Oryzias latipes: one gene and its partner. The protein of the gene in region 2 interacts with the protein of the main gene of each other region in a biochemical or structural test. Links are inferred from orthologs where the notes say so. Each region holds a gene or a part of one and is shown on either strand. Other genes may lie near its edges. The genes, in order: rnf185 and cgas.

Region 1 (7,498 bases), on a different chromosome or scaffold from region 2:
GGATCAAGGGGCAGTGGGGCGGACGTCTGTGGTGAACAAGACCAGGAGAATTTGGATGAGTTTGAGAGTCCAGATGCAGAAGGCGCCACGCTGGAGCCAGCAAAGAGCAACTTGAAGCTCGCCGCCATACCACCTGAATCCAAGTCTCAGGTGGTGTTTGTGACCCAGCCGTGTCCGGACCATCAGGTGACTCAGCTGGCTGCGAAGATGCCCCCGGGCTCACAGAATACCCCACAGAGCAACACTGGCCGTAAGCGTAAACTAATGTCGGATACGGTGTCGCCGCCTTCCCCCTCTGGTACCCACACCCCCACCAAGTGGCTGGTTAAGGACGACGGCGTTCCGTTCGGCTCCAGGTCGCGGGACGAGGACGAGCTTTTCCTGCTGAGCTTCGTTCCGGCCCTGAAGCGGCTCGCCCCGCAAAAACGCTGCGAGACCAAGATGAAGATTCAGCAGATCATGTACGAGGCGGAGTTCAACGTTGCACTGGCGGAGCTTCAGGAGAAAAAACCGGAAGCGTGAACTCGAGAACAATCTGATATCCAGAAAAACAGCACCTATTTTTTCCTTACTTTTGTAGCACAACGTTTTGAGATGGAACCAGGTTATTTATTGGACAAGTCCAACAGAATTACCGGAAAAAAATACAGATACTAACTTGATTTTTCATAAAGCTTTACTGTCACTAATGGATATACACATTTTGCAAAGTTAATACATATTTAACAGTATTTTGTTTTGTCATGTACAGTTTGTTTTTACATTTAATTACAGAGAAACAGAGCTGAGCAAGTAAAGATCATCCAAAATTAAAAGGAGAAAGTGAATTTATTATGGCTGCACAAAGCAGACAAAAGAGTAGAAGTTTGTAAACATCCGGGCGGGTAGTGACTAAAATCTCTCATTTACAGTATCATGCACAACATTTACAGTCTTTCCTTCAAAACCTGACACTGTCTGTTGCATCTATGAGGGCTGCAGTGAGGAGAAATAATAGGAAGGAATCAAATGGACTTTTTTCTTTATTGGTGCTGCTTTCTTGCATGTGCAGAAAGTGCAAGCATGCATGTTTTTTGAAGAATTTCCAATGACTGGTGGTTGATGTTAAATACTCATGAGTTTTGTAATTTTTGAAAATCTGATGATTACATTTTCATTTTTTGTCTAAGGTAGAAATGCTAAAAAGATCTAAAAAGGCAAATCCGTCACAGTTTATCTTTGTGCGACCTCTTCATGCAATCAGCAGCCAGAACATGATGACCAGGGCGACAAATAGGAAGAGTCGGGATAGAAACTGTTCGTCTGTGTGTTGAGGCGTCCCAGGAGCTGCTGTGTCAAGTAAGAACCCCACAGGTTAGTTTTTTTTAGACTCATGCTACAACACAGAGATCATTCAGGAGAGCTACCTGGGGGAGGCCGACCATCGTTGATGTTGAAGGCCGTGGCGAAAATACCAAACGGGAAGGCGCCGATTCCGAACGACATCTGGAAACCTCCATCGCCGAAGCCGAACCCCTGAAAACCCTGAAAGGAGCGCCGTGACAGCTGAGGGGGTCTGACGGGAAGCTAACGTTGATGCAACAGGTTGTAAAATCCCTGCTCACTCTCACGGGAAGAGCTGCATCTCAGCTGCTAGTGTGTAATGAGACTCCGTGGTTTAGTTAATGGATGAGGCAAGAATCTACACAAACTTATTTGTTATTTTGATGCAATAACACAGACATATTCCTGCTCATACTTACACCGCGGTTCTCTGGCTCAGGCCGTTGTCCTTGAGGTCGAGGGGGGGTTCTTTCTCTGCAAAACAGAGTCCCATGTCTTTTTTTTGTGCTAATAAATTGATAATTTGCTCACATGATTTCTAAAATTCGAGGTTAAATAGCCACCTGGGATCCTGCTGACCCGTGCTCCCCCTCCCATATAAGGGGATGACTTTGTCCCGGCTGATGCCAGCTTTACAAACTGGACACACTTGTCTATTGGGTCGAGTTTCTAACCACTGCGTGAAGACAGGAGGGTTGTTAGAAAGCCAATAAAACCACTTGAGCTTAGTGTTAAGAGAAGAAGACAAAGCTGCTTACCTGATGCAAACACGGCCAACTATAGAAGTTAAAAGAATAGAGATCACATTTCATTCATTAAAATAATAATACAAGCCTGATTAAAGAAGATCTGTACAGAGCATTACACTTAAAATTCCCTTATGTAATTTGCCAAATGTTTATAAAGGACACACGGAAATGTAATTGTGCTATTATTCAAATTATAAAAATTCAAAATGTAACTTTTAGACTTTGATCTTTCTCTAAACTTTAAGACAACCTGGTACTGAATTGGCCCTTTACAAAAAAACATTAAACAGAATAACACATATTTTTTTCTAAAGCTTTATTGTTCCATTGGATCTGCCTTTTTTATACACTACCCAAATGCTGCACGACACAAGACTGAAGTCGCTGAGATAAATAACATATGGAATTTATTTACAGAAAACACAAAAACATTAATTTGAGAAAAAATAGTGGAATTTTAGAAGTTTCTATGCAGCTTAAGACACCCAGGACCTGATTTAAACTTGGAAGTCTATTTCTGGTGAGTCTCTACACTTCGGTATTGTACGCAGATTTACAATGAGGCTTCCTGTTGCTTTCAATTCAATTACATTTTATTTGTACAGCCCAAAATCCCAACAACAGTTATCTCAATGGGCTTCGTACCAGTAATTGTAAAGTAAACATAAAATAAAAGGATCAAAAATATATTGAATTCAATAGGAAAATTTTAAACTGAATCAACTAAACAGATTAAACTAAACAGGGCATCTCTGCCCTCAGACCCCTCCTTCATGGTAAGGAAAAACTCCTAAAACAAACGGACTCCGTAAAAAAAGAAGAACTCTCAGGGGTGTCCACATGAAGGAGGGATCCTCCCCAGGACGGACAGGCGATGTACCAGTTATCTAACTCCAGAACTACAACTTTCAGAGATGCTTCTGAAATATCAGTTTGTTAGCTGCAAGTAGTAACATGACGTTTAGCTAAATTCTTCAGTCGTATGACCAAACCTATTGATTTCTTTATGTTACAAAACAACTTCAGGTCAAAAATCTGAGTTAACCACAGATAAGCTTCATAAACTATTCTACGAAGCTCTATTCACAGTTTAATTGGCTCCCTTGTACTTAAAAACATTGACATTCTTTTAAATACAATCTTATCAGCACGCATAACTCAATAGGAAAACAATATGTTCAAGTTCCTTTTATTTATCATCCTGCAGTTTTTGGAGAATTTCTCATGTGATTAGATTCTCTGGCAAAATATGCAAAAAATTATTATTTTTATCTTGAAAAAAATATGGTTTTAACTATCCTTTTTTTTTTACTTTTCCTGTTCAACAGCTGAGCAAACAGATGAGAGCTGAAGGCCTCTTGTGTCAGACATTACGGTACAACAGGGGGTTATGAATCTTCTAACACACAAGATGAATATTTTAATATACCACTTCGGTAATTTAGACTTAACTTTATTTATATTAAATATATTTGAAACCGTTTTTTGTTGGACCGGACAGAAAAGAAGAAGAGGGAAGAAGAGAGAGGTTTATGTCCTTCTGAGGTGGATGAGGGAATGTAAAAAAAAAAAGAGAGAGAGTGCCCAGTCATCCCCACCCCAAGACCCCGGCTGAAGCAGCAGTGGTAGTCAGGACCCCCAACTCCCGCATGATATAGCAGATAAAGAAAAACTGCCGGCCGGGCAATCACATCTGCCACCCAGGCCAGGGCCAGCAGGATCGCCACAGCCCCCCCCCAATGCCAGACAGCAGGGAGGCAAAGGGGAAAAGAGAGTGCAAGGCCCAGCCCGACCAGAAGAATAGCCCCCCAATAGGAGAGCACCCAAGCCCCAGATGAGCAGCCCACCACCCAGGAGTTCGTTTCTGAGCATCCCCCCACCCAAGGGAGACCCACCCCATGCTCCAGGCAGCCACCCACCCAGCCCATGGGAGGTCCAGGAGAGGGCAAAGCGGGGCCAGGCACCCCTGCCCAGGAGGAGGGCACCCAAAAGAAGTGGGGGTTCCCAAGGACTGTTGATAACATTAACGATCCTAACCCTTACAATTTAATTATACTTTTGAGACCAAAAGGCAACAGAACACAGTTGTATAGCTATATGGGGAATTTTTTTTGGTGTGTTTGCTTTACTGATGTTTACATTCATGTATTTTACTTGTTACACATGCAGAACTACAGTCTCAAACAAATACTAGGAGGAATTTCAACCATGTAAACATAGTAAAGAATAGCTGGTAACTTACCAGAAGAGGTGTCCGCAAAGACTGATCACAGCATCTTTCGCGGTGTCCAGGCAGATGTTACACTCGAAGGTGCTGTCCTGGCTGCCTCCCTCCGCTGCGGCCGAGCTGCTCGATCCCGAAGTTGTGCTTTCAGCCGTGGAGCCAGAGGCTGGGGCTGAGGGGGCAGCCGCGGCCATAATCAAATCTGGATCCTCACAGCCAACACTAACGAACTTGCCTCAAAACTCGCACATATGAAGGCCCCACTGGATAGCAAACGAAGACAATGAGTCACGGAGTTTCAATGAATTTTCGCAGTTGGTCGCTCGGTCCGTTTAATTCCAGGCTAATGCTAGCAAACAAAGCCGTAAAGACGGGTTTTTACCCACTGACGTATACTTTACTACGAAAATAAACAAACAATAAAAAGTACTACAGAAAAACAGTTTAAATTATAAACCAGTCTGATATCTACGTCCAAATTGAATCACAGCGGCAAACCATAAGTTGAAGTTCTGAGTTAGGAAAAATATTCTTACATGATGTGACGTCATATCCGCTGCTTCACAAGCACGCGACAAGTTAGTTCCTGGTCAAAAGAAAGAAGGCGGGGCAGAATATTCACGAAATAGCCAACAACCCTTAATAATTTCTTTAAAACGAACTTTATAGAAAAAAGTTTAAAACTTTTCTTTAAATAACCGAGAAGTTTTTAGCGTGCATACATTTAAAAAAAAATCATAAACGTAATAAAAACCTTGAAGAAATAAACAGGGGCGCAACTACCTAATTTCACATGCGGCCTCATTACCCCCCCCCCCCCCCCCCACGCACACAGACATAAATGCACATTAAAAAAACATCTCATCCACCCCTCCTAAAGCTATCTAAACAACACCTTTATTGTTTAACTGTGTACATCTCATTACTTCTTATCTGATCTTGGAGTATCAGAATATTTTAGTGAGCTATTTACAACCGTGTATTGCCTCAATGATTCCCCAAATTTGTGTGGTGAAGCTCATTCAGAAGGATCTTCTGAGTAAAGCCTGGCCCCGGCTCTCTCCTCTGCACCTCTCTGTTCTTCTCCCTCTTCATCATCAGCTGATCGTCTCTCTTTCTCTCTATCATCATCATCATCTGAACCTCTCTCCTTATTCTTCTCTGTTGGGACTGACTTGTCATGTATGTCTGCACTTGTTTTCCTAAAATAAGTGAACAGGTGGTCAGCAGAAGCTTAAACCAGAATGAGCATCTAGGTTTTTGTGACTTCAATAGTTTAATTATTCCTACCTGAAGTCATTTCTGCTCTCTTGTATATCAGATGCATCACCAACCTCACGTCTGTCTCCTTCACCTCTTGTCTGTGTTCTTCTCCACTAAATCATATGGCCAACCAACAATTATTTCATGTTTAAAATAAATTGAACGTCTTGCTAATGCATGATTTTATTTATTTATTATGAAAACTGCCGTGGGGGCACCCAATCAGTTACGATGTGCTTCTGTTACTGACCATATCATGTAAATATAAGTGCACAAACAGGTGGGAAATTAAAAAATACGGACTATAAATAATTGTAATAACATCGGTTTGGCGCCCCCTTTGGCCGGCGCCCCCATACCAATCATGTGCTGCATACCTACTTTTTGCGCCCCTGGAAATATAGAAAAAATGACAACAGTGATAGTTTTTTTACTAGAATATACAGCAAAAAAACATGGTTTCAATTTTAACTGTTAATCAAAAAAGACAAATTTGTGTAGTGTAATGTGTAACTCAAGAATGAAACAGAAAAAGTTTTTAAATGTAGTTTTTATCAATCTGTATTGCTCTAAAACAATTAATTTCACCTGAACAAAACTTTACATTCAAATTTGTATTCACATTTTTTTTACATTTATTTTTTCAAAGTCATAAAGCAGCTTTTTTGTACACTTTAAACATTTTTTTGTATATATTTAAAAAATAAAAACACAATTTATCACAGTTTTTTCTTTATGTCTCAATTTGACTGTTTTCATCAAGGGAAAAAAAACGTTTTTATTCATCTTTAGTTATATTTCAATTTGGTAATCAACCCAAAACAAATGTAAAAATTACCAAAATGTATTGATTTGTTTGTAGCCTTTTTTGTTTATATAGGCAGAACATTCAAGATCTAATAGCAGCAGTCAAGTACAGTGATCAAATGTAATGTTTAGTCCAGTAGAATCGGAATAACAGCAAAGACTCAACTCAAACATATTATTATTATGTCCCTTATTGATGTTGTCACATTAGTATTGATGAGTGCATCAAATTAACATTTGATGATGTCCAGGGACTTGGATCTTGAATTATTAAGGGCAACAGTTCGTAGATCCTCGCCCATGGCTTCCTCAATCTTAGATGTCAAAGATTTCTTCAGGGTTTGCTTGAAGTCGTTACCAATAAAAACGTAGAGAATGGGAGAAACAAAGCTGTTAGCCGAAGCCAAGGTGGCTCCTACTTTCAGTCCAGTTTTAAGTATTTCTAAGTTATAATTCTTAAAGTCCAGCTCCAAGAGGACGAAGGTATGATAAGGCATCCAGCAGCAGAAAAACGACAAGATGAGTGCCACCATAATTTTATAAGGTTTCCTTGACCTGACAGTCAAACCTTTCATCTTAAGACTAAGCACCACGCAGCAGAGGATAATTACTGGAAAAGGAATCAGAAAGCCAAAGACGAATCGACTCAGGGCCACTGCTGTGTGTCTGGAATGGTTCACATAATCTGTGTAGCACTGAGTGACCGAACCGTGGACTGTGACTTGTCGGAAGACGATCGTGGGCAAGGTCAAGAGTGCAGACAGGAGCCACACCAGGATGACCACTCCAGAGGCTTTCCGAACTGTCCGGTGGTTGTGCGCCCACACAGGGAACAACACCAGGACACATCGATCAGCACTGATCAGAACCAACACAAACACACTGCTGTACATGTTGAGAAACAGAGCAGATGAAGTGAGTTTGCACAAGACAACCCCAAAAGGCCAGTTTGAGGTTATGGTGTAGAAAACATCAAAGGGCAAAAAGACACAGAATAAAAGATTTGAAATCGCAAGGGAGGTGTACCAGGTGGTTAAAACTGATCTTTTCATTTTACATCCGCAAACCCAAACCACTAACGAGTTTCCGGCAATCCCAAGAGTGGATATCAGGATGTTAAAGGCCACAAGAA
Region 2 (5,813 bases):
ACTGAAAAGAGAGGAACACCTGTTAAGAATGGAGGAAGAGGCTCAAACACTGATTGTAGCTTGTGCAGATGTTGAAATCTGAAAGAGATCAGCAAAAGTTGTGGTTTGGAAGAGTGTAGCTGATAGTAATAAGACTGTGGTGTCAGGATGACCTGTAGTGAGGAAGATGACAAAGACAGAGCAGAGGACCAAGCGGTGATAGTGGAAAAAGCAAGAGTGCTGAGGGATTTTTGGAGAGGAACTGAAACAAACTTCAGGAGATCAGGAGGTTCTCCCAGATGACTGGGAAGAAAATACTTAGCTTTTTTCATTCACCAAGGACATGACACACCAAGGACGTTTGGGAGTGTTAAGAGAAAAAGGTTTGCGAACAAAAAGGGTGACACCAAGAAGACAACAGTTAGGAGTACAGTGAAATGCAGCACAAGGTTGAGGTGGCAAATACTAACCAAAGGGTGGATGAGGACTTGAAGATGTGGTTCTGTACTGGTCTAGCCAGTTAAACAGAAATGGAAGGATTTAAAGCTGTTAAAGGTCATCAAAAACAGGCATGGAAATGTGTTAACCAGTTCCACAAGTGAGATGGAAAGATGGAAGGATAACTTCGAAGAACAAATGAATCAGGAAACTGTGGAACAAGAAGTAGCAAAGATCAGTAAGGCTGACATGAGGAAAACAATCCAGATGATGAAAATCTTTGGAAAGGCAGTTGGGTCTGACAAAATACCTGTGGAGGTATGGAGGAAACAGTTTGGGAGAGGTGGCAGTAGAGTTTCTGACCTGATTGTTTAACAAGACTTTGGAGAATCAGAGGATGCCTGAGGAAAGAAGGAGAAGCATCCTGCTGCCAATTTTGAAGAAGTGAGAAGTGCAGAACTGTGAAAAATACAGAGGAATAAAGCTGATGAATCCCAATGAAGTTATAGGAAAGAGTAGTGGCAGCTAGACTGAGGCCAGACTTATCGTTGCATGGCAAGGAGAGAACCACAGATGCAATATTTGCTTTGAGGATGAAGCTGGAGAAGAACAGAAAAGGTAAGAAAAAGCTGCATTGTGTCTTTGTAGATCCAGTGAAAGTCTATGACAGAAACAGAGAGAAGCTGAGCTTTGAATGAGGAAGTCTGGAGTGACAGAAAACAACGTCGGAGTTGTGCAAGACATGAAAGCTGACAGCGGTAGTAGTTAGATGTGCTGTAGATGTGACAGAGGAGTTCAACGTGGAATTTCAAGTTGGTGGAAACTCCCAACAGTGCTGAACCACACCCACTCACTGCAGTAAAGCAACCGGTCAAAGGAAGGTGACTGCATTTCCAAGGGCTGGTGGTGGGAGAAGCAGCAGTCTTCAATGCAGGCGGAGACGACTAAATTCAGAACAATGCAGGCAGAATGCACCGCTGGCAGGGCGGATTAAGGCAGGGTGCGACACAACCCTGTGGGGAATAGGCGGAAGATCAGAGCAGCACACTTTCAACTAGGGTTGGGCGATGTCCCTTAATTTGGCAGTAATAATTAATTAGTAATTTTTCATTATTATATAATTACTATTCATAATTTTACTTTATTTTATTTCCTAACTAATGACTCATCCGTGAGGAAGAAATAATGTGAAGTATAAACTGAGGGAAGTGACTTTAACAAAAAAAATAAACAAAATAGAAAAGAAGTAGTCCACTCCTGCACTTGATTAGTCAAGTGGACCGGTGGCCCGAGCGACCGTGTGAACGTTTGTTCTAATCGGAAAACATTTTTCTGGGCACATGCTCATGGTTGAATTCTAATCAGACCATTGATCCGTTCAAGATATTTTGCACATGTACCCGTGGCTTATGGTGTCGACTCGCAGCGTGGCGGGGGCGTGGCATCACAAACGTGTCTCTCCAGATGCCAGTCAGCCTTCACGATGGACGATGATATCGTGTGTCTAAATAAATGTGGCGATCACTCTCAGCTGGTCTGTGGCTGAGAGTGAAGTCAGAGTAAAAATAATTTGTTTGTGAGTGACTTTTTGATTCTGAAGAACTTACTGGTGAAGTTTGGCACGGTAGGCCAGGTACCATGCAGCACCAACCAATCAACACGCAGGATATTGGCAGCACCTGCTCTGCAGGTGAACTCAATTTATCCTGTCACAAAAGAAATGTGCAGAAGACTGTGGTAAAAGCAATCATGTTGTTGGTTTTGAGACTTTGAGGAAAGAAAGGAGGCAGAGCTGGAAGTAGCAGAGATTAAGATGTTGAGTGGCATGGTTGGATAGGATCAGGAATTAATCCATCAGAGAAAGAGATTATGGTAGATGTTTTGGATACAGATGCAGGGAAGCAGATTGTGATGGTCTGTACTAGGGGGACATCAGTTGATCTCTGGTTTGGTGACATTGGGAGGAGGAACAGTGATGATGTTGGGGTTGCATGCTGAGGTTGGAGATAGCAGGAAACAGGTCTATAGGAAGGACAAAGGAGAAGATCATGGATATAGGAGAGGATATGAGGAGGCTTGGTTTGAATGACGACACAGAGAGGATTAGATGGAGGCTCTTCCAAGATGATAAAACAAAAATAGAACCATAAAGTTCTTTTCAAAGCTAAACATTCAAACATGTCTAGATGCATTTTACATGTAAAATTTTTGTATTTTCATGTATTTTACAATATTTATTTGGTGGTTATGAAATGTCAATAGGAATCACAAAATGCCAACTACTCCTAAGAAATCAAATCCCTGTGCTCACAATACTCTGACAGTCCTCACTGAAAGCTTCTTTCGTCATGTGTTCACTCAGGAAAGACTGTCTGAAGCTCCTGAAACATCTTTTGCATCTCCTGAAAGAGCACGACCCTTCCCTGAAGGATGTCTGTTCCTATCACGCCAAGACAACGCTACTGCACGCCTGCTGCGCCCGCAACAAAGACGACGACTGGAAAGCCTCAGAGCTCCTTGGCTGCTTTAAGCAACTCCTGCTGGACTTTCAAGGCCACCTGGAAGCTGGGAAGCTCCAGAACTTCTTTGTTCCCGGCCAAAACCTGCTTTCCGGCATAACAAAGAAAACTTTAAATGACCTTGCCAAGCAGATAGAGGAGCAACTATTGAACGGGTTTCCAATTTTTGCCGCAGGGCTTTAAATGAAGTCAATCAAGTTTTGTTTTCAGCACTACATTTAGTGTTCAAAGTTCATGTAAACATTTAAACATGTAAAAGGATAAAATGAAATAAAACTTTTGTGTAAAAGCTTTTCATTGCTGTACATTAAAATTCAAAGTCCCACTCTGATCATGTTTTGTTCCCAGTGGTCATTTAATTATGATATTTTTTAGCCAAAATCAACAAACCTGTCTCATTCTCTAGAACACTTTGATCTTTAACAGTTTGATTTCAATATTTGTGATTTTAAAAATGACAAACTTTTCTACTTAAAATCTAGTTTTTGGACAGTTTTGGGATAATGTGCAGTTATTCTGTAATTAAAATACTTGTTAAAAAGCTGGGGTTGTTCTAAAAGATGGACATCAATCATTGCCACATTAAACAGCTTTAAAAATAAATAATAAATAGAGCAAAGTGTGAAGTAGAATAAAAAGCTAATAGACTTGGCGTCAAAGTCCGACTTCAATCATCTTTTGATCTATTTTAAAGACATTTCCAGTGGTCTTTTAAATATAATTATAGCCAATATAAAAAAAACTGTCATTTTCCAAGACATAGTTTCTGTAGAGCAGCATGAGTTCATTAAAAATTCACCTCTGACTTGTGGCCAGGACTATTTGTGTAGAGCAACCCGCAACCAACTTAGCATTAGCGGTGCAACCAATATCGGAGCCATCCAGTCGTCCATTTTTGAGCCAAATGCAAGCTCAGAAAAGGAAAACAACTTATCTATTTTTCTGCAAGCAAATGCATCAGAAGGGAGCGGAGCATTTTCTGTCACAAATGAGCTCTTCTTCAAACTGAATTTTTGCGTCTGCTCCTGATTCACCAAATTTGAATCGAGAAATACCCAGAAAAACAATTATAGGTCTAAAATTTCTTTAAAAATGTCTTCTGTCATTGGACCAATGCTACAAGAACATGTAAAAAAAAACACCAGAAACGTAAAGTGGGTCTTTAATGGAACTTGAAAAGGCTCCTTATCCGATTCATCAATACAAACCACTTGATCTGCAGTTGAAACTTAACATGTGATGAGTTATGATCACATTTAGGGTCATGTTACCAAAGTAGTTAATTGTGCTTAACTGGAGCACTGTGACTATGTGTAGAGACTTAGCTTACATATGAACTCAGCAGCCAGAAAACTACATTTCATATTTGAGCTTCCTTTGCTTTCAAACACTTGGCAGGGAACCTCTAGGTGGATTTACTAACAGAAAACAACAAAATGGCTAAAAGTAGCAAAACTAAAGATACTTTTAATACTACTACATTACAAGGATGATTGAAAACTGTCGTACCTTGTTGTTTTTCCAGAAGTTGCTGCAAACTCCTATTTTGGTTTTTGTAGCCTAACACGCACAGGCCTCCTGCAAAGAGAAATCCTGACAGAGTGAAAGACGTTTCCTCCTGCCAGCACCATGCTGCTGAGTGCCAATGCTTTAATGAGACGAGAAAATCAGAGAAAAACCATTTATTTAGAAGAATGCATGCTGCTGAAACAGCAAATCCTTAATCAAAAAACAACCTCTCTTAGAACAAAATAATGAATTGACAAAAACTAAACAAAAGAACAGCAAAAACAAACTTTTTTTATAAAACATGAGACGACTGGAAGTTTCTGATCACTTGAGCCTGTGAAGAAGATAAGAAAATGAAAATTCAATTGTATTGTATTATTGAATAGAGGAGAGCTAAAGGTTTCTTTATGACATACAAATGTAGAGCATTAGAACTTCCAGCTCTGAGCTTGGTCTCTTCTGCTTCCCCTTCCACCATCTCTTCTTCCTCCATCTCTTCTTCCTCCATAACCTCCTCCTCCTGAACCGTACATCAGCTTCTCTCTCTTGTGTTTCTCATATCTTTCCGCCATGAGCACCAGCTCATGAGGCACTTCCTGCAAACAAGCCCCACCCCCTTGGAGTTTTTACAAACTAATAAATTAACAAGAAAAACTGATTAAGCTGTCAAATGAGCTTGATTGAAATGAAAGCCACTGGCTTGTTCTCATTTGTGTGTTTTCTGACTTGTCCTGATCGCTCCAAGATGGGAATCAGCTCTGGCGCCATCCTCCAGTCTTCCCTCGTTACCAAGGTAACAGCAGCACCGGATCGCCTGGAATATACGCGCATTAGCGTCACGAGACAGCGAATGCAACGCCATGAGAAACAGGAGCTCGTTTGAAAGAATACCAGAAAACTTTCAGCTATAGTGGAGCTTCAGTACATTTACCTTAGTCAAACCAAAGTGCAGGTGAAATATGGGCAAACCAGTATGGGGAACCCAAATATGGTCAGTGAACCCGTAAAGTAAAAATGTTCAACATTTTGTTCTGCATGCTGCAAGCAACAGGTCGTAGCAAAAACTTAACTCTAAACAACACATGCTACAATTCTTTGTGTAACTTAGCATGACATTTAGGATATATACAACTTTCCTCTGCTGGTTGGTCTTTATACACCAGCTGCAGCAGAGCGAGGTTGGTGCAGCCTCGGTAGCCGTTATCATGACAACGGATCACAACACGTGTCACATGAAGCTTCATCTCCATAGTTTTTGCTCTCAGTCAGTTCCTCTGACTACCCGTTTGTTCTGCTTGTTCAGAAAACGTTACAGCAGAAGCGCTTACCCCGCTCGACCTGTGCGGCCCACTCGGTGGACGTACTCCT

What was found.
Region 1: of the proteins of cgas (region 2) and rnf185, one has a biochemical effect on the other in vitro, tested with the Homo sapiens proteins (2 studies listed by BioGRID). The link is inferred for Oryzias latipes from reciprocal best matches to the Homo sapiens genes CGAS and RNF185.

Annotation. Positions count from the first base shown.
Region 1 is NC_019870.2:13,776,019-13,783,516, reverse strand, and holds rnf185 (E3 ubiquitin-protein ligase RNF185), read right to left. Parts: upstream 4,907-7,498; 5' UTR 4,833-4,906; exon of another isoform or gene 4,560-4,832; 5' UTR 4,491-4,559; coding exon 4,315-4,490; intron 2,101-4,314; coding exon 2,082-2,100; intron 2,000-2,081; coding exon 1,887-1,999; intron 1,798-1,886; coding exon 1,743-1,797; intron 1,525-1,742; coding exon 1,407-1,524; intron 1,330-1,406; coding exon 1,232-1,329; 3' UTR 659-1,231; downstream 1-658. Other genes in the region: uncharacterized protein LOC101161910, read left to right, coding at 1-522; chemokine-like receptor 1, read right to left, coding at 6,597-7,498. UniProt on the Homo sapiens protein: E3 ubiquitin-protein ligase that regulates selective mitochondrial autophagy by mediating 'Lys-63'-linked polyubiquitination of BNIP1.
Region 2 is NC_019873.2:11,009,428-11,015,240, forward strand, and holds the end of cgas (cyclic GMP-AMP synthase), read left to right. Parts: intron 1-2,779; coding exon 2,780-3,119; 3' UTR 3,120-3,267; downstream 3,268-5,813. Other genes in the region: probable ATP-dependent RNA helicase DDX43, read right to left, coding at 4,874-5,041, 5,172-5,259, 5,774-5,813. UniProt on the Homo sapiens protein: Nucleotidyltransferase that catalyzes the formation of cyclic GMP-AMP (2',3'-cGAMP) from ATP and GTP and plays a key role in innate immunity.